Linked DNA regions of Schizosaccharomyces pombe. The gene in region 1 interacts genetically with each later gene. Each region holds a gene or a part of one and is shown in the gene's direction. Other genes may lie near its edges.

Evidence for each region.
Region 2: of pfl2 (region 1) and mbx2, changing one suppresses a phenotype caused by changing the other (phenotypic suppression), as found in Schizosaccharomyces pombe (one study listed by BioGRID).

The regions. Positions count from the first base shown.
Region 1 is NC_003424.3:3,982,421-4,000,457, reverse strand, and holds pfl2 (protein Pfl2), read left to right. Parts: upstream 1-9,045; 5' UTR 9,046-10,108; coding exon 10,109-13,219; 3' UTR 13,220-13,425; downstream 13,426-18,037. Other genes in the region: Tf2-5 (retrotransposable element/transposon Tf2-type), read left to right, coding at 34-4,035; SPOM_SPAPB15E9.06 (uncharacterized protein), read right to left, coding at 6,187-6,456; SPOM_SPAPB15E9.02C (uncharacterized protein), read left to right, coding at 8,014-8,580; SPOM_SPAPB18E9.05C (uncharacterized protein), read left to right, coding at 13,538-13,810; SPOM_SPAPB18E9.04C (uncharacterized protein), read left to right, coding at 15,354-17,756.
Region 2 is NC_003423.3:3,617,901-3,633,270, forward strand, and holds mbx2 (MADS-box transcription factor), read left to right. Parts: upstream 1-8,738; coding exon 8,739-9,857; 3' UTR 9,858-10,758; downstream 10,759-15,370. Other genes in the region: rps1801 (40S ribosomal protein uS13), read right to left, coding at 1,938-2,372, 2,525-2,548; SPOM_SPBP8B7.32 (uncharacterized protein), read left to right, coding at 12,477-12,701. UniProt on the Schizosaccharomyces pombe protein: Acts in transcription regulation. May bind to a MEF2-like typee II promoter sequence.

The DNA.
Region 1 (18,037 bases):
CCTTTTGAAATCTCCCAAAGGGAAACATATACAATGTCCTACGCAAATTATCGTTATATGAAAGCAAGAGCAAAACGATGGAGACCAGAGAATTTGGATGGAATTCAAACATCAGACGAACATTTAATAAACCTTTTTGCAAAAATATTATCGAAGCATGTACCAGAGATAGGGAAATTCGATCCAAATAAGGATGTTGAAAGTTACATTTCAAAACTTGATCAACACTTTACTGAATACCCTTCATTATTCCCAAATGAGCATACTAAAAGACAGTATACATTGAATCACCTAGAAGAATTAGAGCAACAATTCGCTGAACGCATGTTTTCTGAGAATGGAAGTCTTACATGGCAAGAATTACTCAGACAAACAGGGAAAGTACAAGGATCCAACAAAGGTGATCGTTTAACTAAAACATTTGAAGGTTTTAGAAATCAATTGGACAAAGTTCAATTTATAAGGAAACTCATGTCAAAAGCAAATGTTGATGATTTCCATACTCGCTTGTTTATATTATGGATGCTGCCATATTCCTTAAGGAAATTAAAGGAAAGAAATTACTGGAAATCAGAAATCAGTGAAATTTATGACTTTTTAGAGGACAAAAGAACAGCCTCGTATGGTAAAACTCACAAGCGTTTTCAACCGCAAAATAAAAATCTAGGAAAAGAGTCCCTTTCAAAGAAAAATAACACCACTAATAGCAGAAACCTGAGGAAGACAAATGTTTCGAGAATAGAATACTCATCTAACAAATTCCTAAATCATACTAGGAAACGTTACGAAATGGTATTACAAGCTGAACTTCCAGACTTCAAGTGCTCAATACCCTGTCTAATCGATACGGGCGCTCAAGCAAATATTATAACAGAAGAAACTGTTCGAGCACATAAACTGCCTACCAGACCCTGGTCAAAAAGTGTGATATATGGTGGAGTTTATCCAAATAAGATTAATCGCAAAACAATAAAACTTAACATAAGTCTAAATGGAATATCAATCAAAACAGAATTCTTGGTTGTAAAGAAATTTTCGCATCCAGCTGCTATCTCCTTCACAACATTATATGACAATAACATTGAAATATCTAGCAGTAAACACACGCTCTCTCAAATGAACAAAGTTTCAAATATTGTCAAGGAACCTGAGTTACCAGATATCTATAAAGAATTCAAAGACATTACTGCAGAAACCAATACGGAAAAGCTACCAAAGCCAATAAAAGGGTTAGAATTTGAAGTTGAACTAACTCAAGAAAACTACAGATTACCTATCAGAAATTACCCGCTACCACCGGGAAAAATGCAAGCTATGAATGATGAAATTAATCAAGGATTAAAAAGTGGAATTATACGAGAATCTAAAGCCATTAACGCCTGTCCAGTAATGTTCGTTCCGAAAAAGGAAGGCACCTTGAGAATGGTGGTTGACTACAAACCTTTAAATAAGTATGTCAAACCCAATATATATCCGTTACCACTTATTGAACAATTACTTGCTAAAATACAAGGTTCTACAATTTTTACTAAACTTGACCTCAAAAGTGCCTATCACTTGATACGAGTAAGAAAAGGAGATGAACATAAACTTGCTTTTCGCTGTCCTCGTGGAGTTTTTGAATATCTAGTAATGCCTTATGGCATATCTACAGCTCCAGCACATTTTCAATACTTTATCAATACAATACTTGGTGAAGCCAAAGAATCACATGTAGTATGTTATATGGATGATATTTTAATTCATTCAAAATCGGAATCTGAACATGTAAAACATGTTAAAGACGTTCTACAGAAATTGAAAAATGCGAACTTAATTATCAATCAAGCAAAATGTGAATTTCACCAATCACAAGTAAAATTTATAGGGTATCACATTTCGGAAAAAGGATTTACGCCTTGTCAAGAAAATATAGACAAAGTCTTACAATGGAAGCAACCTAAGAATCGTAAAGAATTACGACAATTTCTAGGTTCTGTCAATTATCTTAGGAAATTCATTCCAAAGACATCACAATTAACACATCCACTCAATAATCTTTTGAAAAAGGATGTACGCTGGAAATGGACACCAACACAAACCCAAGCGATAGAAAACATTAAACAATGTTTAGTTTCTCCTCCGGTGCTACGACACTTTGATTTCAGTAAAAAGATTCTACTGGAAACTGATGCTTCAGATGTCGCTGTAGGAGCCGTATTGTCTCAAAAACATGATGATGATAAATACTATCCTGTTGGATACTATTCAGCAAAGATGTCTAAAGCACAATTAAATTATAGCGTATCGGACAAAGAAATGCTTGCAATCATTAAGTCTCTCAAACATTGGAGACACTATTTAGAATCCACTATCGAACCTTTCAAAATTTTAACAGACCATCGAAACTTAATTGGTCGCATTACTAACGAATCCGAGCCTGAAAACAAACGTTTAGCTCGTTGGCAATTATTTTTACAAGACTTCAACTTTGAAATTAACTACAGACCTGGATCAGCAAATCACATAGCTGATGCCTTATCCAGAATTGTTGACGAAACAGAACCAATTCCAAAAGATTCAGAAGACAATAGTATCAACTTTGTTAATCAAATCTCGATAACCGATGATTTTAAAAACCAAGTGGTTACAGAATATACGAATGATACAAAATTGTTGAATTTACTAAACAATGAAGACAAACGAGTGGAAGAGAATATCCAACTCAAAGATGGCTTACTAATTAACAGTAAAGACCAAATCTTATTACCTAATGATACTCAGCTGACTAGGACAATTATTAAAAAGTATCATGAAGAAGGTAAATTGATTCATCCAGGCATTGAACTTCTTACAAACATTATATTACGTAGATTTACGTGGAAAGGAATAAGAAAACAAATACAAGAATATGTACAGAACTGCCATACATGTCAAATAAACAAATCTAGGAATCATAAACCTTATGGACCTTTACAACCAATTCCCCCATCAGAAAGACCTTGGGAATCTTTATCAATGGATTTTATTACAGCTTTACCAGAATCATCTGGTTATAATGCACTTTTCGTGGTAGTTGACCGATTTTCAAAAATGGCAATCTTAGTACCTTGTACGAAATCCATTACAGCAGAGCAAACAGCTCGAATGTTTGATCAACGAGTTATTGCTTATTTCGGCAATCCAAAAGAAATCATTGCAGATAATGATCATATTTTTACTTCCCAAACGTGGAAAGATTTCGCACATAAATATAATTTCGTTATGAAATTTTCGTTACCATACAGACCACAAACTGATGGACAAACTGAGCGTACAAACCAAACTGTGGAGAAATTACTAAGATGTGTATGTAGCACACATCCAAATACATGGGTAGATCATATATCCCTAGTGCAACAATCTTACAACAATGCGATACATTCAGCAACTCAAATGACACCTTTTGAGATAGTACATCGCTATTCACCAGCTTTATCACCTTTAGAGTTACCTAGCTTTAGTGACAAAACTGACGAAAACTCTCAGGAAACGATCCAAGTATTTCAAACAGTTAAAGAACACTTGAATACAAACAACATAAAGATGAAAAAGTATTTCGATATGAAAATACAAGAAATTGAAGAATTTCAACCTGGAGACCTAGTTATGGTCAAAAGAACGAAAACAGGTTTTCTTCATAAATCCAATAAATTAGCACCTAGTTTTGCAGGACCGTTCTATGTGTTACAGAAGTCGGGTCCAAACAACTATGAATTGGATCTTCCAGATTCAATCAAGCACATGTTTTCATCTACTTTTCATGTTTCTCACCTAGAAAAGTATCGACATAATTCAGAACTCAATTACGCTACCATTGATGAGTCTGATATTGGAACAATTCTTCATATCCTAGAACATAAAAACAGAGAACAAGTACTCTACTTAAATGTCAAGTACATTTCGAATCTAAATCCGAGTACTATTATGTCAGGATGGACTACATTAGCTACAGCGCTACAAGCGGACAAAGCAATTGTCAATGATTATATTAAAAACAATAATCTAAATATCTGAGAACATATGACTTATCCTCAGATTTACATAGAAAATCTTGGGGAGGGCAATGTCAGCAATACTACACTACGCTATAATACACTACGTTGAGTATCACTATATGTCACATGTTCTAATTATATATCGTACCATGTATGATACGATATGGAGATTGATCTTAATGATAATCTATTAAGATCAATATTATCTGAATACTATAAATAGAGCTACTGCTGAACCTCGTTCCTCAGTTCAGTTATGAGCTATATTAGTGATAGGTAACATTATAACCCAGTTAATACAATACCTATACTCAGTTGCTACTTATACAACCTGTGTATCGTAATATAATAGATCACAAGGAAAACTCACCGCAGTTCTACGTATCCTTAAATCAGATACCAAACTGCGTAGCTTACAGGAATATTAAAAGGATCGTATTTGACGGATAGTTGTGAGTACTGGTTTATGTACTTGCTTTAGGGTATGCAATGCTAAATTATCACGTCACAATGTATCGTTAAATGAATAATAATATACGTTAGTGACATGGTAATGTCAGCTGCGCAGTTTGGTATCTGTTTAACGATACATAGAACTGAAGTGAGTTTTACTTGCGACCTACAATATAGCGGTATGCGGTATGTTAACTAACAATGTACATTTATTGGTATATAAAATCTATTAGTATCGGTCACCGATATAGCTCATAACCGAATTGAGGAATGAGGTTCAGTTGTAGCTCTATTATAATATTTGTAGTAGTGTTATCACTAACTGTCCAACATATGACATATAGTGATACTTAACGTAGTGTAGTAATGCTGACAATATTAATGTTATACTACAAAAATCGCAATGCATCGTTAAATCGCAAGCTAGATGAATGTAGTTTCATTTAAGTGTGATTTCTTATAATTCATAAGAGTGTAATTGTATTGAAATTTATTATTCAATTTGGCAAAAAATCAATATTCATTTTAAAAATTTAATATTTCGTTTGAATTTTTTAATATCAATATTAATTTTCTTTTATTTTTTTTTTATTTTTTTTTTTATTTTAAATATATATATATATATATTTTTTTTTTTTATCTATATTTATTTTTATTTTTGCTACCGTTCATTAAAATCATGTTTGTAATGTTTTTTGAATATTTTTGGTAATTATTAATTTATATAAAATATAAACAGGACGGAAAAAGTATAATAAATAAAAATGTAGCGTGAAGCAAACAATAAGAGAATTGCTTTGACTTTTTTTTCTATACGTAAAAAAGAGAGAGAAAGAAACTAAAAAAGTGTATTTTGATTACAATCAATTAATTAATCTATCTATCTTTTCATCAATAAGGATACTTTTAACCTATCCGTTTTCCTTTGTTTTAAGAAAAAAAGCAAAAAAAAAAAAAAAAAAAAAGGAATCCTTGGAATTTCTTTCTTTATCTAATAACCAAGTAATCGCAATTGTAATGGCTATGGCTGTGCAATACAATGAATTCATAATCTACCATTCCTGATGGCTTATCAGAAAACAAAACAAAGAAATCCAGCTTTGTTCGTTTTAAGCTTGATGATAACATTCAACAAAGAAATCCATCATTTTTCTTGAGTTTGCGACATCTACGCAAGCGTCAGCAATTTCTCTCAATTTTGATGAATGTCTCAGTTTTATTCATTTCACTCATTTCATTCATTTTACTCATTTTACTCTGTATGTGTTTTTTAACCAAGCTACCGAAAGAAAAACACCCTTTAACTCTAACTCGCGCTTACATGGGCTGGATGGAAAGCCTCAAATCAACATTAGCAATGATAAGCGATGCATGAAGCCTTTACAGCGCTGATTGGCTGACACTAAAAGCCTTGTCCAATGTTAAAGCAAAGGTCTATGAAAAATTGTGGAGATTATTCGTTACGGCGGCACGACGGCCAGGTGATCCAGGAATTATGACGAGGATGATAGGCTTTTACGCTATTGATTGGTTCGTTAAGGAAAAAGTTGGAAATTAAGATTGCCAGTCTTACGGAAACCGTCGGTACTGGATTGTCGGAGGAATGAGAACGAGAGGGATTGGATGGAGAGGCAAGATGGCAGGAGAATAGGGAGGAGGTCCTTTTAAAAATAGATATGGATGGGAAACGTTTCTTTGTTTAAACTTGTGCATGTTTTTATAGCAACATGGAGGATGTGCCAAAAAAGAAACAAGGGGAGCAGAGAGGACAGAGGGGAGGAATGGCGAAGAGAATACGTTTAGGTTTTTTTTTAGAACGGAACAAGTAAATATATATATTGTAGAGGATAGCCACAAGAAAAAAGAGAGAGAGAGAGAGAGATATGGAATGAAGAGAGGAGATGGAATGGAGAGAAGAGATGGAAAAGAATTCCAATGAGAATTGGAAAAGGAAATTGCAAATGCGAAAGCAAACGTTCAATTTCATTTCAATTTTAATTTTTTAAATCATTACATCTCCTTTTTTCTTTTTTCTTTTCTTTTTTTTTTCTATTCAATTCATCGTTTCAATTTTCTATTTGACTCTTAATTCAATCTTTTGTTTGCCAAGTTCTCTACTTTCGATTCATTTCATTTCGGTGGGGGATTTTTTTTTTTTTCCTTTTTTTTTTTTTTTTTAATTTGTTAATTTGCTATTCACGTTAGCCGTGTTTTACACTAGCCGGAATTCCGAAATCGACCGTCTACGTTATTTTCTTTGCATTGCCATTGTCCTTGCCTAGACTACGCTTGGATTTCTTTTTCTTTTACGCATCCTCGTTGTCCTATACTATTCCATAATTAGATGCACTGTGCTCGGTTACACTATTTTTCGTATTGTATTCTACTATCGTTTCCGTATCGCTAATGAACGAGAAGGAAACTAGCTCGTTCTACGACACAAAGCAATTTCGGTGCTTCGTTCTATTTCGGTGCTGCGTTCTATTTCGGCTCTGTGTTCTACTTCGGTAGTGTATTCTATTTTGTAAATGCTAGGCTATGGTGGAGCTCTTTGTACCGTGAGAATAACAGCTAAAACCCATCGTTTGTGTGTAGTGCACAAACGGAATCGGCAAAGTACCAGGGATGTTGTTTTTCACAATTAGGGTCAGCAATCAAGAGAGAAATGTGATTACAAAGAAAGGGGACAACGAAAATGAAAACGAGATCATGTTTGTGGCAAACAGGCGATTAACACGTCTACAAGCATGATTCTTGTCACTGTTGTGCAAAGGGGGGAAGAGAAAGAGAAAGAGAAGAAAAAAAAAAGATGCAGATATTTGTGATTCAAAAAATAATACTGCGTTAAAAGTTGACTCTGTGTAAAAGTTGACTCTACGTAAAAGCTGACTCATATTCTCTCTTCTTTTATCAAATTGGCGTTCTCTTAACTCATCCTTATCAATTTCTTACCTAAATTTTTTTTCTTACTCTTTTTTTCTCTCCCTCATTGTTTGTGCTCTTCCAATGTTTTTGCCTATACTATAACATACAATCTCTTTACCGGCCTTAACGGAGTCGTGTGAAAAAATTCTCCTTGGTCAACTTCGATAGTGACGGAGCACTTTTGTCCATCGTTAACTTCTCCAGCCCAGGTTGGATGAGTCATGTGGAAAAGAGAAAAAAAAGAAAAAAAAAGATTCCCATACCCCTTCATCGTCGCATCTCACTAAAAAATCCCTCGTAGCAACAAATCGTATGGTGGCATGTATGGAAGAGCAACAAATAGCTCACAGACTTGTTGAGAAAGGAAGAAAGCGGAAAGTCGAGAAAAATGCCAATTGAGAGAGGAGAGAAGTGTCACTACCTATCTATCTATCTTTCAAGTTATCATGAAATGCCATACAATTGTTTTACTACTGGCAAAACATCATCAATGGTCAAACGGACTCAAACAAAAAAAGAAAAGGCATCATACATTTGCATTTTCATATCATTTAGTATGTCATTTGTATCATACATATCATCTTTTCCAATATAGTTGATATTTCTTTCCCTATAGTATATGACAGGAATGTTTTTTTTTGCATCGTTGTTTTCGTCTTTTGAATCGTTGTTTTTTCGTCTTTTTTTCGTTTGTTCTTTCTTCTTTCCTCTCTTGTATTCGTTCATTTTCGCTACTTTGCATGCGTTTGTTTTTCTTTTCTCACATACATTGGTCAGTAGTCAATTCCGCCGTCTTAAACTCCCATACCATCATCATCATACATTTACCATAGAAGCATTTTTTTATTGGTTTTTTTTTTTTTTTTTTTTTTTTTCTCATTGTAGACGGTTTCACATTGCGATCTTTATTCATCCATACGATTCCAATGTCGTACCTTTCTTTTGTTTCTTTTTTTATTTTTCTTTGTTCTCTTTTTTTTCTTTTCTTTTCACTTCACTTCATTTTAATTTTTTTTTTCGCCTCTGTAGACACAAGCATCTCCTTGACATCCCTGATCAAACTACCCTCTCGTCCCTCTTACACCGACACACGAGACTACCAAGGGATGTCAGGCGTAAACACACATGCTTCCATACTTCGGTATGGTGCGACATGAGTTCATACTGCATTGCATGGCGTAGTTGATCCTTATCGCAACGAATGTCTAGATATCTTTAACTTAATATTCCACCAATCATGTATCTTATTAGCATCCATGTCCTTTATTGCATTCTCAAATGGGACGGAACATGGACCAATCAACGGCCATAACACTAGGATCTCGATTGTGCATTTCCCTTCTATCCCTGAGTGTTTGTTTCCTCAAAGCTAGATTGTCGTTAGCGATTGGTGGATGTTGATTTGTAGCTTCATGCGCTTCTCGTTCCAGACTGGCCGCTTTGGTTTGTCTGTTGGATGGATATGGTGTGCGCGCACGTCATGTTGGATGCTGCTTAATGCTATGCTGCGATCATTCGACTGGTGGATTTGGTGTATAAGACCAAGATAACTTGGCGCATGTTACAGTTTTTCAAGCCTTCGGAATTCCAGGGAAGCCAGAATTTGCCGATCCCCGTTGCCATATATCTTTAAGGGTGCGCGCTCTTCGCCGTCCTAGTAGTTTGTCTGTGTGTGAGTGCCTCGTCTTTTTGCCGAGTGTCATTTTTACTTATTTTTTTTTTTTTAATAAGTGCGAACCCGCCCCCAGGTTTTTGCTCTTTCCCTTTCCCTATACCTTTAACAAACGTTTTCGTTTGGTTTTAACGAAATTCATTTGTTTTTGGGAAACTCGCGATTTTCCTTTCCTTTCCTTTCCATTTTTATAACTACTCTACTCTATATTCTATTCATTCATTTTTTTTTGATAGAATTTAGTTGAAATTGCAGATTCGTCCTTTTGCAAACTCATTTTCTTTTTTGCAGTTTGTCTTGTCTTCTCCTTTTTCTTCCTTTCCTCTCCTTTTTTTCCCCGTCTTTTTTTTTTATTTTTCGTTGTTCAGTGTGTCTCTTGGTGAGTTTGCTGAATTACTGTTAATTTGAAAAAAGGTTTGGAATAAAGAATCTCGATTCAAGCAAAACATTCACTGCTGTTTTACGACGATTCCTTTCGTCCGGTATATTTTTTTTTATAAATTTTGTTTTTTTGGGAGATTTATATCTTTTTTGTCCTACTATAATTTCTTTTCTCTTTTTGACAAAGACTTTTTCTATCTAGTCAGTCTTTAATATTTTTTTGTCTTCTTTTCTTAAACCCAGATATCTTCTTTTGAGCATTCTTGATTGAATTTTTATATCCCAATCGATATCTGTCTCTATCATCTTATATTCTTTTTTAAACCATCGATTTTACTTTTCCCGTTGTTAAATCGATCTTTTTCTTAATCGCAAGTACTTTCAAAAAGTCTTGAAAGTTTTTTGCCTATTGAATTCTTATTTTAATACGGAATCATATTTTTTAATTCTTTCATCGGTTAATCCCACCGCTTTCATTCTTTTTTGAAACCCCATATATAAAGCATTTGCTATCGTTTTTTCAACGACGTCTATTTCTTTCTTCTTGAAATTTCGACTTGCTTTTTCTATCTCTCTTGGTATCTAATCATATATAGCTATATCTATCTTGGAACTCTTCAAACTTTAATTATATTTTTTTTTCAATTTTTCACTAATTACAATGAAGTTTTTCACTGCTTCCACTCTCTTTCTTTTGGCTGCTCAGTCCCTTAATTCGGGTGTCTCGGCGTCTTTGAGCGATCCCGCTAATACTCCAACTATTTTGGCGGATGATATAGTCCACGGTTATACCCCTGCCACTTATCTTTCTTCGGTGCCTACTCTCCTTAAGAGAGCTACCACCAGTTACAACTACAACACCAGCAGTGCTTCTAGCTCTTCTTTGACCTCAAGCTCTGCTGCTAGCTCCTCCTTGACTTCTAGTTCTTCTTTGGCTTCAAGCTCTACAAACTCTACTACTTCAGCTTCCCCAACTAGCTCGTCCTTGACTTCTAGCTCTGCTACTAGCTCTTCTTTGGCTTCTAGTTCTACTACTAGCTCCTCTTTGGCTTCTAGTTCTATTACTAGCTCCTCTTTGGCTTCTAGTTCTATTACTAGCTCCTCTTTGGCTTCCAGTTCTACTACTAGCTCCTCTTTGGCTTCTAGCTCTACAAACTCTACTACTTCCGCTACCCCTACTAGCTCTGCTACTAGCTCCAGCCTGTCCTCGACCGCTGCTTCCAACTCTGCTACTAGCTCTAGTTTGGCTTCTAGTTCTTTGAACTCGACTACCTCTGCTACCGCTACTAGCTCCAGCCTGTCCTCGACCGCTGCTTCCAACTCTGCTACTAGCTCCAGTTTGGCTTCTAGTTCTTTGAACTCGACTACCTCTGCTACCGCTACTAGCTCAAGCATAAGTTCAACCGTCTCCAGCTCTACTCCTTTGACTTCGTCGAACAGTACTACTGCGGCCACTAGCGCTTCTGCAACTTCCAGCTCCGCCCAGTACAACACCAGTTCACTTTTGCCTAGTAGCACTCCTAGCTCTACTCCTTTGAGCAGCGCCAACAGCACTACTGCCACTTCTGCTAGTTCCACTCCTTTGACCAGTGTCAACAGTACCACTACCACTTCTGCTAGCTCTACCCCTTTGAGCAGCGTGAGCAGTGCCAACAGCACTACTGCCACCTCTACTAGCTCTACTCCTCTGAGTAGCGTTAACAGCACTACTGCCACCTCTGCTAGCTCTACTCCTTTGACCAGTGTCAACAGTACCACTGCCACTTCTGCTAGTTCTACTCCTTTGACTAGTGTCAATAGCACCTCCGCCACTTCTGCTAGTTCCACTCCTTTGACCAGCGCCAACAGTACCACTAGCACTTCTGTTAGTTCCACTGCCCCCAGCTACAACACCAGCTCAGTTTTGCCTACTAGCTCAGTTAGCTCCACTCCTTTGAGCAGTGCCAATAGCACTACTGCCACCTCTGCTAGCTCTACTCCTCTGAGCAGCGTTAACAGCACTACTGCCACCTCTGCTAGCTCTACTCCTCTGAGCAGCGTTAACAGCACTACTGCCACCTCTGCTAGCTCTACTCCTTTGACCAGTGTCAACAGTACCACTGCCACTTCTGCTAGTTCTACTCCTTTGACTAGTGTCAATAGCACCTCCGCCACTTCTGCTAGTTCCACTCCTTTGACCAGCGCCAACAGTACCACTAGCACTTCTGTTAGTTCCACTGCCCCCAGCTACAACACCAGCTCAGTTTTGCCTACTAGCTCAGTTAGCTCCACTCCTTTGAGCAGTGCCAATAGCACTACTGCCACCTCTGCTAGCTCTACTCCTTTGACCAGTGTCAACAGTACCACTGCCACTTCTGCTAGTTCCACTCCCTTCGGTAACTCTACCATCACCTCTTCTGCTTCTGGCTCAACTGGTGAATTTACCAACACGAATAGTGGAAATGGGGATGTTAGTGGAAGTGTCACCACTCCTACCTCTACTCCATTGAGCAACTCCACCGTTGCTCCCACTAGCACCTTCACTTCATCAGGTTTCAACACTACTTCCGGCTTGCCAACTAGCAGTGCTTCCACTCCATTGAGCAACTCCACCGTTGCTCCTACTAGCACCTTCACTTCCTCTGGTTTCAACACTACTTCCGGCTTGCCTACTAGCAGTGCTTCCACTCCTTCAAGTAACTCTAGTATTGTACCCACTAGCACCTTCACTTCATCAGGTTTCAACACTACTTCCGGCTTGCCAACTAGCAGTGCTTCCACTCCTTTGAGCAACTCCACCGTTGCTCCTACTAGCACCTTCACTTCCTCTGGTTTCAATACTACATCCGGCTTACCCACTAGCAGTGTTTCCACTCCTTTGAGCAATTCTAGCGCTTATCCTTCAAGTGGATCTTCTACCTTTAGCAGATTGAGCTCTACTTTGACTAGCAGCATCATCCCTACTGAAACCTTTGGTTCTACTTCTGGTTCTGCAACCGGTACTCGTCCCACTGGAAGTTCCTCTCAGGGCAGTGTCGTTCCTACCACTAGTACTGGAAGCTCCGTTACTTCCACCGGTACTGGAACCACGACTGGTGTTACCGAAGTTACTGAAACTTCGACATTTGAAACTACTGAGATTATAACTTCTACCATTGAACCCACCACTGCAAGTGGAACTGGCGGCGGTAACCCAACAGCTGCTCCTACCAACGAACCAACCGTTACTACCGGAACTGAAACGACCGAGGGTACTGCTACTTACACTGAGCCTACCACATTCACCAGTACCTTCTCCTTCACTACTACCATAATCGGCGGTACTACCACCATCATCCCTGTTAACCCAGGTAACCCAAGTAGCAGTGTTAGCGCTCCTCCTACTACTAGCTTTACCCCAGGTCCAGGTGGCTCAGGATATCCTAGTTATAGCAACACTACTCAAGGTATGAACACCACTTCTATCTGGAACAGTAGCAACTCCACCATTGTATCGAATGTTACCGCTACCATTACTGGCAACGTAACAATTACCACCGGTGACCTTACTACTATCGATCCCACCACCTTCACATCTACGTACTTGAGCTCTGGTTTCCAAACTGTCAGCAACACTACCGCCACATCTGGTTCTGATGACGATGTAAAGACTGCTTCTACTTCAAGCAGCACTTCTTACACTTCTAGCTCCTCATCCAGCTCTAGTACGACGTCGGCCGCCTCCTCAAAAGCCAGCGTATCAATGGGATTGAATGGATTGATGATTGCCGCGGTAATTTTGTTGGTTGCTTAAGGTGATTTGGAATGTAAAGAATAAATACTTTTTGTGTCCATTCTGAATTTTATTTGAAAACGTATCATGGGCAGCTTCGGTCGCTTTTGATATCAAAATTGATGCAGCCTCTTTGCATCTTGCATTTTAGGTTCATGTCTTATTTGTTTCCATTATTTTTAGTTACGCCTTCATGTTGGTGATTGTTGACTTTGAATTTTGTTTTCTGGTTGGGTGTTTTCTGCTACGGGGGTTTTATGTCATGTATCTATAGAATCGGTGTTTGGCCTCAGCCGTTTTATCTCTTCTTACTTTTTCGGGTGGAATGTGGACAGGAGGATGAATGAAGTAATCAGTCAACCCCCTTGCAATATTTTTAGACCATTGATCCTGAGCATGCATTTATCCCCGGTAAGTATTTTAAGCCCTGTGTTATTGATATATTTAGTTATTCATTCCCAAAACGAATTGGTAAGTATGTCCTGGCTTTTCCGTTCTACAATTTGTTTTGGGGTTTCTCTTTTCCTTTCTTTTTTTCTAGTAAGGATTTTGTGGGGTATTGCCTACAGCTACAACAGTAATTCAATGTCCATTTATTTCTCCTATATATGAAAAATTTAGTAATGATGTGTGATTCCTCTAATGGTAGCCATATATCCGATTTTAAGCTAAGTATCTTGACCTTTTTGTCTGTATGAAATTTGACTTTAAAACCTCTACTTGATCTCTGTCCACTGAAATTGGGAAGCTGTGTTCAATAACCGTGCAGTATGATATGCTTAGCAAATCAACTCCCACAACGTGGGCTCTATATTTAGAGATGGGTTTACAAATTGCAAGGCGGAAAATAATTTAGACCGGTTACCACCAAAATTTCAACTTGATTTTACGCCATTGAATTAAAATTAGAAGCACTATGACTTAACCTGTCATATACGTCGATGATAAACGTAGCTGCAATTCAGATTTTGCCTGTGAAACACTTTTCGTTGTAATGGAATCCTGTGAAATGTACGGGAAAGGGTGGAGATTGTCGTCACGAACGCTGCGGATGCTTCATCGATGTCGTGGATTGTTCGTTTGAAACATTTGATTCATTAGAACTTCTGGATACCCGGAGGGACACTGCACACGGTTAATCAAAAATTACATAGTTGAGGTTTGAAATGTCCAAGGGGTTTATGAAATGAATTCGCCTTAGAAAAACCTTTAAAACGGATGGCGCAGGCACTTTTGTGGTGTGTTTTCCTCCATCCCATTGTGATAAATTTCGGCTTAGTTAGCTTACCTTTGGCTTATTGCACTTGCTTTTCAACACTTGGTTAGATTTTCTGTGAACTTGTACGATAGTCAAGATTCATACACTCGTGGTAACACAATCTTGAAGTGTACTCCATTAATTCAATTGCTGTTGTACTCTTTTTCATTACAGAAAGGTTGTCTACTTGTGTGCTTTTAATAGGTGCAACTTTGCTGCTTGATCAAATTCGTTTGAAACGAGAGTAGAAAGCTACTAAGCTACTAATTATCAGTCCTGTTGGGTGTGGACTTTTTTTTGGAATATCTTTAATCGATTGTTTACTTATATTTGCAATCCATCCAATCTTTTATATTCAATAGACCCATAGCACTTCGTCTGCTTTGGAAAACATTGGTTTTTGGACAAACTCCGTGAATGTTAATTTCGATAATTGTTGGCAGATAATCCTAATTCTGTGACAACTTTTAATACAGACATATTTTTCTGTGAAAAGTTTTGCTTTCTTTACTCGTCACAATTTTTTAATCTTTAGCACTTGGTTCCATTCATTATTCTTTTTCCTCGTGTGTTCGCCTTCATTTTTGAATTTTTTTGGAAAATTTTCGGTCTTTAACATATACAGCTTTCTCATTATTAGTAGAACGCTGGTTTATTTTTCGGATTGCTTCTTTCTTTATATCCGTAATTACTTTTGATCGTTTCTTTAATATCTTTTGTATTCATTCTTTCCACACCGTTTACAATCTTTAAAAGAGTTATTGAATCGATTTAATTTCAACCTGTGAAGCATTCTTCCCTTTTTTTTATATCGTAAAGGAATTGTCTGTTCTCTTCCAGCTTTAATTCTTGACATCGAATATACCATTTTAAACCTTTTTGAAGTTTTTACCTCAAATGAATCGCTTCTTTATTTCGACTCTTTTATTGCTTGCACAGCATCTTGCTCCAGCAGCAGCATCCTGCGGACTCGCAAACGAAGCTTCATTAAGTGCTAATGAGGTACAAGATATCTACCATGACTTTGTAGCAACATCCATTAATTACGCCGATCTTTTAAAAAGAAACGAAGATCTTAATGCTTCTTTGTCCACGGGATCTCCCGTCGAAATTACATCTACTAGCTGCACAACTGATACTAGTGCCTCTACTCCCATAATTACAGAAAGTACTTCAAGTACTAGCAGTGCTTCTACGACTGGCAGTAGTAGTAGCCCTCTACCCTCAACTAGCACTAGTTGCACTACTAGTACTAGTATCCCACCTACAGGAGGTAGCTCGAGCTTGAGTACTCCTATCACTCCCACTGTTCCTCCTACTAGTACTTCCAGTACTAGCATTCCAATTCCACCTACTAGTACTTCTAGTACCGACACTAACAGTAACCCTCTACCGACAACTAGCACTAGTTGCACTACTAGTACTAGTATCCCACCTACAGGAGGTAGCTCGAGCTTGAGTACTCCTATCACTCCCACTGTTCCTCCTACTAGTACTTCCAGTACTAGCATTCCAATTCCACCTACTAGTACTTCTAGTACCGACACTAACAGTAGCCCTCTACCGACAACTAGCACTAGTTGCACTACTAGTACTAGTATCCCTACAGGAGGTAGCTCGAGCTTGAGTACTCCTATCACTCCCACTGTTCCTCCTACTAGTACTTCCAGTACTAGCATTCCAATTCCACCTACTAGTACTTCTAGTACCGACACTAACAGTAGCCCTCTACCGACAACTAGCACTAGCTGCACTACCAGTACTAGTATCCCACCTACTGGAAATAGCACTACTCCCGTTACTCCTACTGTTCCCCCAACCAGTACTTCAAGCACTAGCACTCCACCTCCTCCTGCTAGTACTTCTAGTACCGGCACCAGCAGCAGCCCTCTACCCTCAACTAGCACTAGCTGCACTACCAGTACTAGCATCCCACCTACTGGAAATAGCACTACTCCCGTTACTCCTACTGTTCCCCCAACCAGTACTTCAAGCACTAGCACTCCACCTCCTCCTGCTAGTACTTCTAGTACCGGCACCAGCAGTAGCCCTCTTCTCTCAACTAGCACTAGCTGCACTACCAGTACTAGCATCCCACCTACTGGAAATAGCACTACTCCGGTTACTCCTACTGTTCCTCCAACCAGCAGTAGCACTCCTCTCACAACTACGAATTGTACTACCAGTACTAGTGTCCCTTATACCAGTACTCCTGTCACTAGCACCCCTCTCGCAACTACGAATTGTACTACCAGTACTAGTGTCCCTTATACCAGTACTCCTGTCACTAGCACCCCTCTCACAACTACGAATTGTACTACCAGTACTAGTATCCCTTATACCAGTACTCCTGTCACTAGCACCCCTCTCACAACTACGAATTGTACTACCAGTACTAGTGTCCCTTATACCAGTACTCCTGTTACCAGTTCGAACTATACTATTAGCTCCAGTACTCCTGTCACTAGCACTCCTGTCACAACTACGAATTGTACTACCAGTACTAGTGTCCTTTATACCAGTACTCCTGTCACTAGCACCCCTCTCGCAACTACGAATTGTACTACCAGTACTAGTGTCCCTTATACCAGTACTCCTGTTACCAGTTCGAACTATACTATTAGCTCCAGTACTCCTGTCACTAGCACTCCTGTCACAACTACGAATTGTACTACCAGTACTAGTGTCCTTTATACCAGTACTCCTATCACCAGTCCGAACTCTACATCTAGTTCTTCCACTCAAGTTAGTTGGAACAGCACTACACCCATCACAGGAACTTCCACTTCTAAAGTTACTAGCAGTACCTCGATTCCTTTGACGTCGACCAACCGTACCTCTACTACTTTTACTTCTTCAACCAGTATTAGTACATCTAGTAGTTCTACTGCCACTTCGTCTACCAGTTTTGCTAGCGAAAGTTCTTCATTCTATAGTAACGTTACTACTTCGAGTTCTACGGTTAGTACTCCGCCCCCAACTACTTCTTTCCCTAGTACGTTTACCACCTCGTTTATTACTAGCTCTTCGCTTAGTAGCATACCTAATAACTCTACCGAAGTTAAGACAGCTTCCACTTCTAGTGGCACTGAAATTAAAACGGCTTCCACTTCTAGCGGTAGCAGCTCGAGCTCGAGCTATACTCCTGCTTCGTCTACTTCTACTACTACTAGCAGTGTCAGTTCAAGGCAATCGTCAAGCAGCTCTTCATTCACTCCTTCTTCTGCCATTTCTACCGCAAAAAGCTCTTTCGTATTGAGTACGTTGTCAATTCTTATTGCGCTTTATATGGTCGCTTAGGTGATTGGTATGCGATGAAAATTTAACTTGTGGTTTGATGAAATATATCTGATGGTTTGTTGTTTGTATGATCGTGGTGACCGCTGAATAATATAAACTTCTCTATGTTCATTCGAATTATCGATTAGCTAAACTGAGCTCAAGGCTTTTTCATGTGCTTTTTTTGTTCTCGTTCACAGCGGTTATCGGTTATTTATTTTTTACGAGCATAACTGCATCTCAAGAATCTTTTATATTTCTGCCCGCTATGTTAGTAAAGCAGAGTATCTAAGAAACCTGAC
Region 2 (15,370 bases), on another chromosome or scaffold:
TTCTAACTGATAATTGTATACTTATATGGCTAACCGCGTAAGAGCCTCGGAGGGACAGTTCGCCCAAATACTACCAACGCTACCACCAGTAGCAGCAAGGCGTAAAAGTTACTTAAAGAAGATAGAATTCCTTACTCTCTATACTGCCAACTTTTCGTAATAATTTATATATTTTACTATTTGGCTATATTTGAAATTTTTAGCGTTGAATATACTATGGCAGGAGATAGTGTGAAAAGTGCAATCATTGGGATTGCTGGGGGTCCTTTTTCTGGAAAGGTATTTTATTAAAATATTTTTTTCTTAATTCTAATACTTTAATACTAGACACAACTCTGTGAGCAATTACTTGAACGTTTAAAGTCATCAGCACCTTCAACTTTTTCTAAATTGATCCATCTTACTTCATTTCTTTATCCCAATTCTGTCGACAGGTATGCACTTTCCTCTTACGATATTGAAGCGTTTAAAAAAGTTCTTTCTTTGATTTCTCAAGGAGCCGAGAAAATATGTTTGCCAGATGGTTCTTGTATAAAGCTACCTGTAGACCAGAATAGAATTATTCTAATCGAAGGTTACTATCTTCTTCTTCCCGAATTGCTGCCCTACTATACGTCTAAAATTTTTGTATATGAAGATGCAGATACTCGTTTGGAACGCTGCGTTTTACAGAGGGTCAAAGCAGAAAAAGGAGACTTAACCAAAGTTTTGAACGATGTAAGGGTTTTTCTTCTAGGTTTATTCTAATTTCTTTTAGTTTGTAACTTTGTCTAAACCTGCATACGACTCTTCGATTCATCCAGTATGTTAAACTCTTATTTGCTGTTGTATACTAATTATTGGAAGACTCGAGAGAACGCTGATATTATACTCCCTCAAAAAGAAAACATTGACACAGCCCTACTTTTTGTAAGCCAACATCTTCAAGATATCCTCGCGGAAATGAACAAAACAAGTTCATCAAATACGGTGAAATATGATACTCAGCATGAAACATATATGAAGTTGGCGCATGAAATGGTAAGCTCAATTTCCTACATATTAACAACTAAAAGTCCTAAATTTAGGCCCGTACTTCGTTATCCAACCGAGAAGTCCCGGTAGTTGCGTCTTTGTATATAAAGGAGAAGTAATAGGCCGTGGTTTTAATGAAACTAACTGCAGCCTCTCGGTAAGCCTTATTTTAATATGCCTTTGCTGACGATGATAAAGGGGATTCGACATGCTGAACTTATCGCTATAGAAAAAATTTTAGAACACTACCCAGCATCTGTTTTCAAAGAAACCACTTTATACGTGACTGTTGAACCGTGTCTAATGTGTGCTGCTGCATTAAAACAGCTTCACATAAAAGCCGTGTATTTTGGATGCGGCAACGATAGGTTTGGCGGATGTGGAAGCGTATTTTCCATTAACAAGGAGTATGTGAATTTATCAGTTCGTTTTTGCTTACGATTTATGACAGCCAATCTATTGATCCGAGCTATCCAGTTTATCCAGGGTTATTTTACTCTGAAGCTGTGATGTTAATGCGCGAATTTTACGTTCAAGAAAATGTAAAAGCACCAGTGCCACAAAGTAAAAAACAACGAGTATTGAAGCGCGAAGTTAAAAGTTTGGATTTATCTCGTTTCAAATAATTATATTAGAAGTCTAATTTTCTGTGGTTTCAGGTAGGGTTATAATAAAGGTTCTTAGGTCGATGCGTCAGTATCAATCATGTTGGTTGAATATGTTGAATAATATTTACTGTTTTTTATATATTTCTATATCAGAATAAATTGTAGTGTAATATTTGATGAGAAATCACAAATCCACCTAATTTTTTTCAATATACAAAATAAAGCAAGATGTTTTAAAGAATCAGAAAACTATAATTTGCAAGAATAATGGAAATTTATTATCCAAGTAATATTAGGCTAATCATTTTACTTATTTTACTTCTTCTTAGAGACACCAACGGTCTTACCGCGACGTCCAGTAGTCTTAGTGTGTTGACCACGAACACGAAGGTCGAGAGCGTGACGAAGACCACGGTGGGTTTGGATCTTCTTAAGGCGCTCAAGATCCTCACGAAGCTTACTGTCAACATTGTTGGCAAGTAATTGGAATGACTTGCCATCGTTGATATCCTTTTGACGGTTAAGGAACCAAGAAGGAATCTTGAACTGGGAAGGGTTTTGAATAATGGTAACAATACGCTCCAACTCTTCAGTGGTAAGCTCACCAGCACGCTTAGACATGTCAATATCGGCCTTCTTGCAAACAATGTTGGCATAACGGCGACCAACACCCTTGATTTGGGTCATGGCAAACATGACCTTTACCTTGCCATCAACGTTAGTGTTGAGGAGACGGAGAATGTGTTGAAACTATAATGTTAATATCACATCAGAGGAAAACGAATTATTTTAATAATTTCACACTTGAGTATCTTTGCCCAAAAAAGCTGCTATAAAAATGCAATTTAAACGCAATAATAATAGGGAAAGGTGTTGAAACAGAAATTATAATATTTACTTACATTATCAGGAACAACGAGAGACATTTTCCGGAAGCTGCTGGTAAGTACAAAAGTATATCAACTAGAACAAGCCCAAACACTGAAGCACTCTCAAAAAGCAGTCACCGTGGTATATATATTACAATAAAAGAGTATCATAATATAATTATAAATAATTGATTATTACGAGCAATAGCGAAGTAAACAAGTTAATGTCTGGAAGTAATACTTCTTTTCGAACAATAACTCTGCTTTGTTCGGAAAGACCATGTCACGCCTTTTACGAACTTTGGTTTGGTATTCTACAAAGTTTATTTTTAAATAAACTCTTAGTTTGATACTCCAACATGCTTTTTCTGCTTTACTTTCATTTGGAATCTATTCTATACATTTGAGAAAGTATAAGGGAAAAATTGAATCTATGGCTGGTTTATTTCAACTTCAATATAGTGGTATTTGGCGCGAATTAAACATTCAGGAGTGACGAGTTCAAGTGTTATGAAATCCTTTGTTTTTAGGTACTTGATCCAGTGCCTCCTGTTTTAATAGTGTTTGAACACCACGATGCTTTAGTAAGATATATGCATAAGAGCACTATAACACTATTATCGACATCTAATTTTTCTACTTAAGTTTATTGCGGAGGCCAAAGTATATCGGTGAAAAAACTCACATCAAATAAATTATATTACGTTGTGAGAGTTTCTTCATTATAAATTAGCCTCCAGTTTCTTGTACTTTCATTCAGAAGCAACATAACGCAGCAAATCGGCTAATACTAACTGAGTCCTTTTGATTATATTAATGTGCTGCCAACGTTTTCGATTCCATTTTCGTGCGCTTGAAGAGTCTTTAAAGTATGAAAAGAAATCCTTGTACAAGTAACTTACTGATCTGGAACGTGGCTGAATTTAAGTCGTCTGACATGCTTGATTAATGAACCGACAGTATGATTTGTTGTACCGCTTTGCATATCTCAATCAGGTGAGCTCACAAGTCAGGAAAATAAAAGAAGGATCGTACGTTGCAACTTTTCGGATGAATACTCCTTTAAGACCAAAGTTGAAAGAAATGGGGGCTAGGCGATTTCGGGCAGCATTCATCAGAATGGTTTGTGAAGAAACAATATAAATAAATTTCTTTGTTCCCTGTTTCGCGTATGCTTTTCCCAGCTGCTTTCGTTACTTTGCAGAACTTGGTATTACACTTGGTTAGCAATGCCTGATAGTAACCCGCGGTTAGGCTAAATAATGGATTTGAGTTTCTGTTTCCAGACCGTACACTTTTAATGTCCGACTTGATTTTTTTTTTTTTTTTGAATCTGAAGTGAAACAACTTCTCCAGAAAGTTGTTCGATTCCCGATAGTTTCGCAACTACAGCTATAGGATTTTATGGAACTAGCCAATATATCTCTCTAATTATAAGGATTCGCAAAATATATCTACTGGGTCCTAAAAAAAGAATAATTGGGGTGGATTTTCGCTTTTGAAAGGATAATATTGACAAAACTAGCTTTTCATCAACCCGAAAAAATACTATTTGCCGACTAAATTATACTGTCAAGGAAACTGGATAACTGCCTTTCAAACATGATTCAAATAGTTCTATTTACTGGGAAAACCGGAGCTGTAGAATTCTATTAAGGGAAATCGAGGTTTGTTAATGTTGCAAGGAGCACATGGGCGTCATGTTGCTGTTGCAATTTCAAACTGTAATATGTACTCCCATATTAACAGGGAAAAAATACATTTAAGGGAACCATTAAAACCCCCTTTTTTTTGTAGACACTGCAGTAGGAGTTGTTTTACGCTCAAAACCTGTGTTTGTATTCTATAACTATTACTGAGGATACGAAGACTTAACAAGGAAATTGTTTTTACTTTGGAGAGCGTATACTCAACAAACCACTGGTTACATGGCTAATATTTAGTAAAAAAAAATAACATTTAATGAAGATCCCTTATAAAGAGCCTAAGTTATTTCGTAATGGAGATGGAAATTCATTTGCACCATGCTTAGAATTTTGCGAAGTATCGATTTGCCGTTCTACGACGGCGGTAAAAGGTGGTATCGAGGAATGGCATATTTAGTTTAAAAGTAATTACGATTCCGTTTAATGTCTCTTACAGTAATTTCATACAATTGTGTTAAACCATTCTTCTCCACCAAATTAAGCATCGATTTATTAACTATTGGATTGATATGCCATGTGCTTTTTGACTGCCTATAGCATTCGAAACGAGAATTGCATAAAGAAGAATAGCATCGAATGAAAAATAGCTAATTAAATGCTATTAAACTCAAATTGAAAAGCAAATAAAAATTGCCATGCATTGACTGTATTGTTGCTAAAAAAAAAAAAACAACTAATCTAAGGGAAAGCTATACCACCGAGCTGTTTAAACTGGTGCGCTGCAGCAAGTTTTCTATTTTAGTATACGGCGAGAAATTGATAGTTGAATGTTCTGGACAACCGACGTTCACAGGACATAAAACAAAAATGTAGGGCTGCTAGTCGTTTCCCAATCTTATTCCATCAAAACAACAAAATATGTATTCCACAGGTTGCATTGATTTTTTTCGGTAAATCCTTTACTAAAATGGAATGACTTTCGGTAAAATAAAATAGGGTACCGGGAAATGATATGTTATCTTAACATTTTGAATGAGACCGACTAACAGGAATATTTTTTAATTTTGTCAGAATCGAGAAATTTAGGCAGAAATAAAAGCACGATATTTGACTTTTTCATGATTGATTCAAAATACAAGACTTTTTCTCCGAGATAAGAGATAAAGCATTTGGGTCATTAAGATGAAGTGGTAAAAGCCATAAGGAAAATGGTTTTTGGTTTTAATTATAGCATATTTAGACAAACGGCCTTCGGGTATTCTAGCACCACTGCCTCTTTTTTTGCTAACAGGAAAAATTAGCTTAAATCTAAAAACCTTAAGCTGTTTGCCCACATTTATCCTGAAATCGTGCTGAAACAAATGGTATTTATTTGGATTAAGTTCAACACTTTACAGAAGCGCAATCCTAAAAATGGTGGAATAGATAGACTGTCTTGGATGGGTTAACGAGGTCAGTTCGTCGAAGGGTTCGCTAAAGCGTAGATTAAGAAGTTAATTCGGTAGTATGCTATCGCTACGGTACAGAACTGAATTTAAGGTCAGCCAGAGTTGCATGTATCCCGTGCTAGCCGAAAAAAAGTAATCCGTACTTAACATTCGAAAATTTCGTTAGTCATTTTGTCTTGAAGCTGGGAGTATTCTGCACATTCCATTTAATATGGGGGGTTTTGGTTTGAAGCTCGGTTCTACCGATGTTTAGACGGGCCGATAATGCGAAGAAAAAATAATGATGTTTTCCGTTAAAACTGTTTTCAGATATCAACAAAAAAAATGTTTTCTGACAGAAAACAAAGAATCTGTTAAGAGATAAAGCCATACTTTTGGTAGACCATGTAAGACGGGGTATGTAATACGGGGTAGTACGAATAGATGTAAGACAAAGCTGTGCATAATTCGATTTGTCGCTTACACGGGTATATATGGACAAACATCATATAGTGCACAAAATAAACAAATGTGTGTTTTCTTATACATGGAGCCACGGAAAGTTCCGAGACAGATGCCCTTTTACGGGCTTCAAGTACCGATACGGCAAAAGTCCATAATCAAAGTCCTTTATGTCCCACTAGCTTGATTAAGCTAATTCGGCATACCCCAGGTAAGGAGGAAGAAAGGAAGGAAGGACAAGGTAAGCAGTCGCTGCACACGTCAATTTCGTGAGTCAGCACTACTGAGGCTGTCCATTAAAACAAAGGTAAAGGGACGGCGGACAGAGATGGATTGTGGCGATGATGTTTTTTGATTTCCAAAATTCTCACTGTTTCCATGAGTCATGGCATGCATTCACATCATCGTTGACTCTCCTCTCTACTCACTGACTAACAGTTTAAAACATGTTGCCCCAATCGTAACACTTAACGACCGATTAAAAATGATGAGAATTTGTCAAGTTCATCGTTCAACCCTAGTTTCCCCCAATTCCTTCCCGTACTCCTAAGCAATCATGTAGAGAGGTAGATGAGAAACATCGAATGGTTTGCCTTTTCGTAACAAGTGCTGAAAATGATAGGCGGATGCAGTGTTAGCACGAGTGTAGACGACTTTGAATGAGTGGTATAAGCAATAACGAGGCTCAAGTCAATATTCAGCCTCCTCGCGAATGGTTGCGCACGTAAACTATATCGCAACGAAAGTATGTCAGTCGCCAGATAGGACTACTCCTAAAGTCTAATCCAAACTACTTCGTCTAGCTATACTAAAGTATAAGCAGGTCGTAACGGTCGATTCATTGCGAAATCAAATTACTCATAAGCTACCTCTCTGGTTATTTTTTCCCAATGTACTGTATTCGTATTGTACCCCATTCTTACCGGATACATTTATTAATAGAGCAAGTTACGAAAAGCAAAATCAGAGCGAGTCTATTTTCGGACTTGTGTGTCTAAGTATAGTCAAGGAGCGGAGACAACACTCGTAATATTGTTCCTTCACGCCCTCCTCCCCCTTTCCCCTTTGAATTGAGTATCGTACACTGCATCAGTAATAGGGTCAGCGTTTCCAATTGACTGACTGGTTGAAAAGTGAAGGATTACATACGAAAATCCCTAAACGCGATCATCAGCGCATTCCGAATTTTCGTATCTTTCTATCTCTTCGATTCTTTCTTTAGCCTTGCCAAGTATTTTGGCTGGCCCATACGCTTTGCCTGACTATCGCGTCTAAAAATAAAATCCCCTTTCCAAAACCTTGGATTAGGTGCATGGGATTACTATGATTCTTTCCTAATAATTGCTAATCCCGCTTTCTTTCTATTTTTTTCTACTATTACTGCAAAGTCAGGTTTGCAATCCAAGTGGACTTTAACCATACTCAAAAGGTACCTTCTAACCTTCTTTCCATTATGTCCATCTTCCTCCTCCAATTAAAGGATTTTCCTACTTAGGGCTCATTTAATCGAGGCTATCCCACCTTTTTCATGAAAAAGTATTCGGCCTTGTGACCTCCCCTTTTCGAAAAGAGAGATGAAGAAATAGTTTAAATTACCCGAGTAGCCGAAACGGTGAATTTTCAGAATGTCTACATGAGGAACATAATGTACACTTATACGCGTTTGTATATTGAGAATTCATCGGTAATGTTGGCAAAGTGCTACGCATCTTCGGATAAACGTGAATGGAAGACATTTAGCCCCTAATTTTGGTGTACTTATGCAGGAAAAACCTATCCCTTAACAATTGCCTATGGAGGGAAAGAGAAAATTTTTTTCGTTCACTATTGGAATTTATTTTCTTTTGCATAAATATGTACAATGGTATGTTACGATGCTGGCGTCGATACTTGTCTAAGTTAGAACGCAGTGTGTATTACGAAGGTTGCATTAAATAGACGTTGCGGTTTCCTAGTTATTGCTATCCCTGTATATATATACACATATATATGTACAAAAACACGTATTTACACGCACTTATAAACGCACACAGACAACAAACAAATACCTAATTTTATAATTTCAAGTTGTTGAGACAGATTAATTTATTTATAAAACTTGGCGAGAAGATATTTTTAAACCTGACATTGAAAAGGAGGGGACAATTGTTAAAAATATAGCTTCAAAGGCAAAAATTTCTCCAAAGTGTTGATTCTTCCTCTTTCTATTTTAAAAATAGCACACAAAAACATCTAGTCATTTAATTTGTCTTTGTTCCTCTCATTTGTAAACACTTGAAAACCACCCGTTCCGGCTATCTTGTTTACTAAAAAAATTTTTTCTATTAATATCTTTAGTTTCGTCGCCCGCTTCAACCCAGAGTACAAAAACAAAAATAGCTTCCTCGTTTTTAAATCTCAACTTAGATTCGTCTAATCGACTATCAATTACGAGCACAATTGGAGAACTTTGCGCTCTTGTTTTCTCAAGCGAAAAATCTACCCTCAAGAGATCCGGTGCAGAGAAGGGAAGACAGGGATAAAAACTGTTACATAAATTCCAAGAATAAACCCCATCTGCTGTTTTCTATTTGTTCCTTATATACTTGCCCGTTTGCTCGCTCGTTTGCTCGTTTGTTTTCGTCATTCTCCCTATACCTGAATTTTGGTTAACCTCGTCGACTCTTTTTCTCTTTTCTCGTCAAACCTTACTAAATATATACAACGTCTAATATGGGGCGCAAAAAAATCTCCATTGCACCCATAACCGACGATCGTTCAAGGAGCGTAACTTTTGTCAAACGAAAACAAGGTCTCTACAAAAAGGCGTATGAACTCGCTGTGCTAGCCGATTGTGAAGTCGCCGTCACAGTCATTGATCGGAAAGGACGTTTGCACGTCTTTTGTTCCTCTGACTATCAACGTACTCTTCAACAACTCAACACTCTCAGCATATATGAGTTAAAAAACCGTTCTCATTTTTCGTCATCGCCTGTCGAAGAGTCAAGTACCGTGTCTCCAGAAACGACAACTGGTTCATTTACTCCTCTTAATAATAAGCATTTGAAGTCACAGGACCAACCTTTATCAGACTCCCAACTCGACACTGGTGATTCTCCTGCAACATCGGAAACGACTGTTCAGGACTATAATCCTCAAGTTCAGTCTTACTGTCGTCCCGAGCCTTTATCGTCTAATCACGTTCGTTCTTGTCCTCCATTTCCTCCCACACAACATCATCATCCCCATACTCGTCCTCCTCATCATCCACCTCATCCTCATTTTCATAACAATAACTATCCACCGCCCTATTGTTTCCAATCTCCTGTGTCTCCGGGTGCTACAGTTCCATTGCAACATCATTCTCCGTACCCTAGTGATAACGGCTTTCCTGGTCATCGTAGGCAAACGCACTTCGCTCCTTACTACTATCCACAAAGAGCTACGTCTCCTTCTTTGAAACAAGTTCCAACTTATCTGGGTACTCATGTACTGCAACAAGACCAGTCCACCTATGATCAGAAGGTCCTTATGCCTCCAGCAAGTTATCTTTCTTCACCTAATCAATACACCTTAAAAAATGTCTCTCCTGGTAACCCGGCTTGCCCTCCTTTTCTCTATGAACATCCAAATCCACAGCTAACGCCTGAGATGTTTGATGTTAAACAAGGCTCACCTATTCCGCCTACTGCGTATTCGGGTAGCAGTTGTGAGACTTCTCAACATACCATTGCGAATACTCCATTTTTGGCATATGATCGCTCTCCTTCCTTAACGAATCAAGAAGCTGAATCATCCTTCCAAGACGTAGCTTCCATTAGTCCACATTCACTCAGTGATGTCAAATACTAAAGAATATCATAGAAGTCAATCTCCCTTTCAAATGTCTTCATCATGTGTCCTCCCTGGATCTAATGAATCGTATACAAGTAATAATTTTAGTTGGCATACATCTCGATCAAATCCTTACAATCGTTTTCTTACTCAAACTGCATATGATTTGGAGCAATCCAAGCACCAATAGTTTACTGCCAAGCTGTGCGATGCCCATTTTTTTAATTTGACTTACATCGCATTCCAGTAAACAATTGTTAATACTAGGTCTATCAATTTATCGTTATAGTTGAATTACGCGAACGAAATTACTGACCTAGCAATAATTGAAGTTTGGAATGTTGTTCAATAAAATGGACACCTACCGATAGCTTATGGATTCAATGTGAACTACAAACCTAGCATGATTTCAGACGCTAGCAAATACAAATACCTGAACATTTCAGATGTGCCAATGGTTTAACTTTGTTAACTTCCATCTTCGGTATTTTGGATCCTCCCTGTTATGAATTCAAGATGGTGATTTTCGGTTTAAATATTTATTTGCAAACTGCGGGCAGTTTATCACTTATTTATTCAGGCACGCATTTTGTCTATTCAAGTGGACTAAGTTTTTTCGTGATTTTGTTTTAACCACCTCCTTCCACTTCATTAATTAATTCACCAACATGTAACATTCGCGGACCAACCTTTATGTTCGCATTCAAATTTTTTTTTGGAGCCGCTAATTTCTAATTAGACGTTTCTCATTCGTTTTCAAGGTTATACATGGTTTATTTTCGTGTGTTTGACTCGATTTTTTGCTAGATTTTTCACGGTTTCTCCTTTTTAATCAAGAACGTTTGACGATTCACAGAACCTTTTTCAAACCCCTAATTACAGTTTTCAACAATAACATGAGAAATTCGAACTTTCCGTGTAGTTTTACAGAGTAATGTTTAAGTGTTTGTTAGTATGTCGGTGTGTAAGTGTAGCGTAGCGATAACCGTCCAGCTTCAAAGGTAAGATGCAGGGGAGTAATGCAGCAGCTAATTTTATATGGCGGAATGAGCATGGTAGCACTCTTCAAAGAAGGTGGAATAGGAATTTGGCTTCATGCGAAATTATGTTAACAGAAACCTGAGTTTCTGTAACATATTATTATATACGTGGCTTAGGACATCCAAACAAATAAATGAAATTCTTTAGTATAAGAAGATGAAGAAGATATAAAAGATTACCAATGTTATGCAAACGATGGAACATGAATCAACCGCATAAAACTCAGTCGCTGTATCAAAAATGACCATCGTGGGATGCTGACATAGGCAATCAAGTTTCTCACTTCAAATAAATTAGAGACTGATTTGGCAAATATTTGAGAATTGATCCTCTATTTGACAAATCATTTTAACTTATTTTATGACAGACAAGTCTGTTTGTATTTTGGGAATAAAACCTCGCATTATCCAATTAAAACGTCTGTTGCGACCACCGGCTTAACTTAGAACAATTATAAAGACTTCCAGAACAAACAAAAGTAATAAATTGTCGTAAAGCGACAATTATGCAAACTTTTTACCCTGTGGGATAATTACCAAAAAGATGATCACAAGTAACGTAAGGCTATGTCTTTCAGGTACAAAACAACTGACGAAAGGTGATAAAAGTATTAAGTAGAGGCATCTGGATGCTGGGAAAACAAATTGGAAATTTCGTAGGGCAGTTTAACATTATTTAATGGGAACGAAAATAGAAAATAAAATATTGCAAAAAGAATGGCGTGGGTCTTACTAAAAGACGCAAATTAGGGATATAAGGCAATTAAACTGCAAATTTAATGCGAATAAAAACAATAGACAACGGCTTAGCAAGTGAATTTACAATACTCGGATTTAGATTTTGCGCGAAAAAGTAAATGCATTGGTCAACAGGAATGCAACCAATGCAAAAAGAATTGTCGCAACCTTGTTAAAAAAACAGAAATGTTTGTTAGACAGTTACAAAGATAGCGATAATCGAGACCAAAGTGTTCCTAAAAATTCCGATCGGAAAGTCAGTAAATCTCGCATAAGGTGGTGCAACTTTGCTGCATACAAGAAACTAGCAGCCCCTGGCCATTTCAGCTTTTTCAATTTGCTTAGAGCACAACACTAAGCAAAGAATCTCTTTCTTTTATAATAGCACAACTCCCAAATGATTATCACTTTTTCTAAAACAAATTAATTGGATACTTCTAAAGTATCCAATTGTAATAAGAAGTCTCAGAATAATCCAACAAATCATTTCAAATATCAGGACGCAGAAGCGAGCATGTAGAGAATATTATTCCATCTCAATACTCGTTTAAAAGGCAAGCGATTCAAAAGAATGGTAAGGGTAGTGGATGTTTGCATGCTGATTTGGAAGGGCTGCGGATATCCATGAGAATAAGCATCGTCTAATCTTTATAGGTATAGCAGGAAAAAGATGAACTTCTTATGAACGGTTAGCACAGAGAACGAGGGAGCGAATTTTTGATTTAAGTGATACAATGCAAGTAGTCTATAAATTTGGTCCTTTTTTAGAACTCCGATTGTCTCAAAGAGTGTAAATATACACGCGAAAACTGAAAAGGTCCGACTAAATTTTCGCAGCCTTCTCGGCTTCTTTTAACACATGGAAAGCAATTTTTTGCTTTTTATTGTTCAACAAAACCTTTTTGATCATTATATCATTTCAATTGTCTCAAATAGAATTATAGGAATCAGAGCAAGCACTAGAAAAGTCGAGTACCAATTTTTTCTAGCTTTCAAGAGCTTTCCCTCCATCATGGGTCGAACAAGTCCAAAATTTCATATAATCAATAAACACTTTTTGAGCCTTTTTAAGCGGGAAAAATGACAGTCTTAACGATCACAAAAACAAGCAAAAATTGCAAAAGTGTTTGGGATACATTTTTATAGATTTCATGGTTTCCTCGCTAATATGGTGAAAAAAAATTTTATGCTTTTCCCTACGTCAATCCAATAAAGACAATTAAACACCAGAATAGCACTGGTGTATTTTTTCTGGAATGCTGTATTTGAGACATACGAAGAGGCTTGATTAATGTAATGGTCAACGAACAAGTAAGTGTCTTTTCTCTCCTCGTGAGTGTAGTGACCGTTGAGGAATCTAATGGTGATTCAAACTTTCCAAACGAAGAAAGTTTTTAACTTATACGCTACTACACACAAGCATTACTCTCATGCCGTTCCCCCCAAACTTATAGGTGTCTCACGACTTTGAACAAAGCAGGCAAGTCACTTGCTTATAGGAATACGCTCGTATAAATAAAAGAATCTCGTTTTCCGACCCCAATTATCCCCTTCCCAATTGTGGTGTCGAGGCCTTTTTATGCACATGATCTTAATAAAGATTTAGGGGATGTGGGGTGTTATTTCGCAACTTGGTCAATGTTTTTCTAGTGTACCTCTGTTAGCGAGGTTATGTAGCCCAGCGTTTGTTATCTAGTAGCACATTTGACGTTGAGGTCGTTGTAATGATGAAACAGGACACGAACATGTACCACCGACATGCATAGCTCTTTATTTGGCTGCGACATGGGTTACCTAGGTGGGGAGTGGTACTGTTGGAACTTTATATGAATTGCAAACAGAAATTTTTCGTTGCGTTGATTCAGTTTGAGACATTACAAATTATGTGATTCGTTGGAAATGTGTAGATCCGAATTATGTATTAATGTGGCTTGCTTTTTTTCCTTATTGGTTTGATCCTGAGAAAGTGCTGAGATGGAATGACTGAACCTTGCTAGTAAAAACTAGTTTTCCGGGATCGGCAAACATGTTTTGCAATTGAAAACAAAATCTTTAGCTGTGTTAGTAATTTGCAATTAGCAACGCGCAAATCCTGCGATGAGGATAGTATGTGAGTTGCTAATTGCAACATCTGAAGCATTCTGATGTGTCCCATTTTTCCAAACCCGGATACAGGCGGCATTGAGAAACACCACAAACAAAAAATTTCCAGCAGTCGCAATGTAAACAATGACAGGGTTAGCCACATATCTGGCTATAATGGTTAACTAGCTTGTTTGATGATGAAACTAGTTGAAAATTAAAAACTGCGAAAAAAAATTCCTTACCGGGTTAACTCAATTACTCCCATACACCTTTTCCCACCAACTTAACAAAAAACCCATATCTCTCAATATGTCCGCTCCGTGAGAAGAAGTAATACTTTTTTATGCATTCGGCTAAATGCAACCCTGCCTTTTGAACATCCCAATTGGCGAGTTCTCTTCAATGTTAACCAACATATCATGGCGTCCACGACAGCACATTACGGCAAAATTCTACCACTGATTTCACACTTTCACCTACTGAATTTTTCATACCAAGTAAGCCTACAAACTAGACTATTTATCTTATAGGAAATGTATTTTCCCTGATACTCTTATCAATCAACGCCTACTGGTTTGTTTGAGCGTTTTTTCGTTCAATAATTCAACACTTTCACTACTAACAATTCACCTATGTTACAGCTTTGACTCCTTACTTTCCCTGTCTTTCGGCTGTTCCACTTTGACCATCGTAAGCCTATTTTGTCATTACTGAAGATGTCACTACACGTTACATTAACTAATGCAAACGATGTTCCGTGCTGCTTTTTTTATTTCTAGCTCTACTGTGTTGGTATTAAGTCTTAGTCTGTTTATTTCATAGTGGTCTCAACAATGAATCTGGTGTATTCGATTTATAAATTTGTGGTTCGACATTGAGTACGGATGACCCTGTATGAAATAACAGTCTCCTGAATCGCTTATGATGATCCTTATCGTGTTGTTCGACCTTTCCAATTCCGGGGTTGTTACCTTATGTCCACCTATTAGTATGATTTGCGCCAGTTCATATGATGGAATTTGCATTGGAGACAGGTTGAACGATTTTTCAGGTTATTTTGCGGACTGCTTAATAAATGGACTTTTTAAGACATGCACTCATAAAATCCTTCTAAATTCTGATTCCGTAGGTATTTGAATGATGGAATGAATGGCTTCCATGATAGCGTTGAACTTTACATGTGGTGAGTTTGATGGGCAAGAGAAATCATTTTCTACGTGTTCGTTACCTATGTGGAAATCATCAGCAAAGATTTTTTAGACCTTAGGTTATAATACCTCGGTTATTTTAGCAATTTGCACCCGATGTTTAGACCCGAAAAGGCCATCAATCAAAGGACAGTTTTCCTGCAAAAAATGACAACCATAATCCATCAGACATGTTGATTCTCCTGGAATCTTCTAAAAATAACTAATATAACATTTAATGCTAGGATTCTATATCATGTTGGCGAGGTATGGCGTCTGAAAAGAGCTGTGATATATTTACTCATTCTTTTTGAACAATATTTGTCGACGGGACTAACATTAATCCAGGCCTTTGCTGGATTTCTCCACTTTCAAATTTTCTCTTGCCTATTGTGCATTCTTCTACGTTTGAAATTTTCACTTACTCATTTGAACCTTGGTGATGAAATGATGCAACCTTTCACTACTTAGTCAGATTACC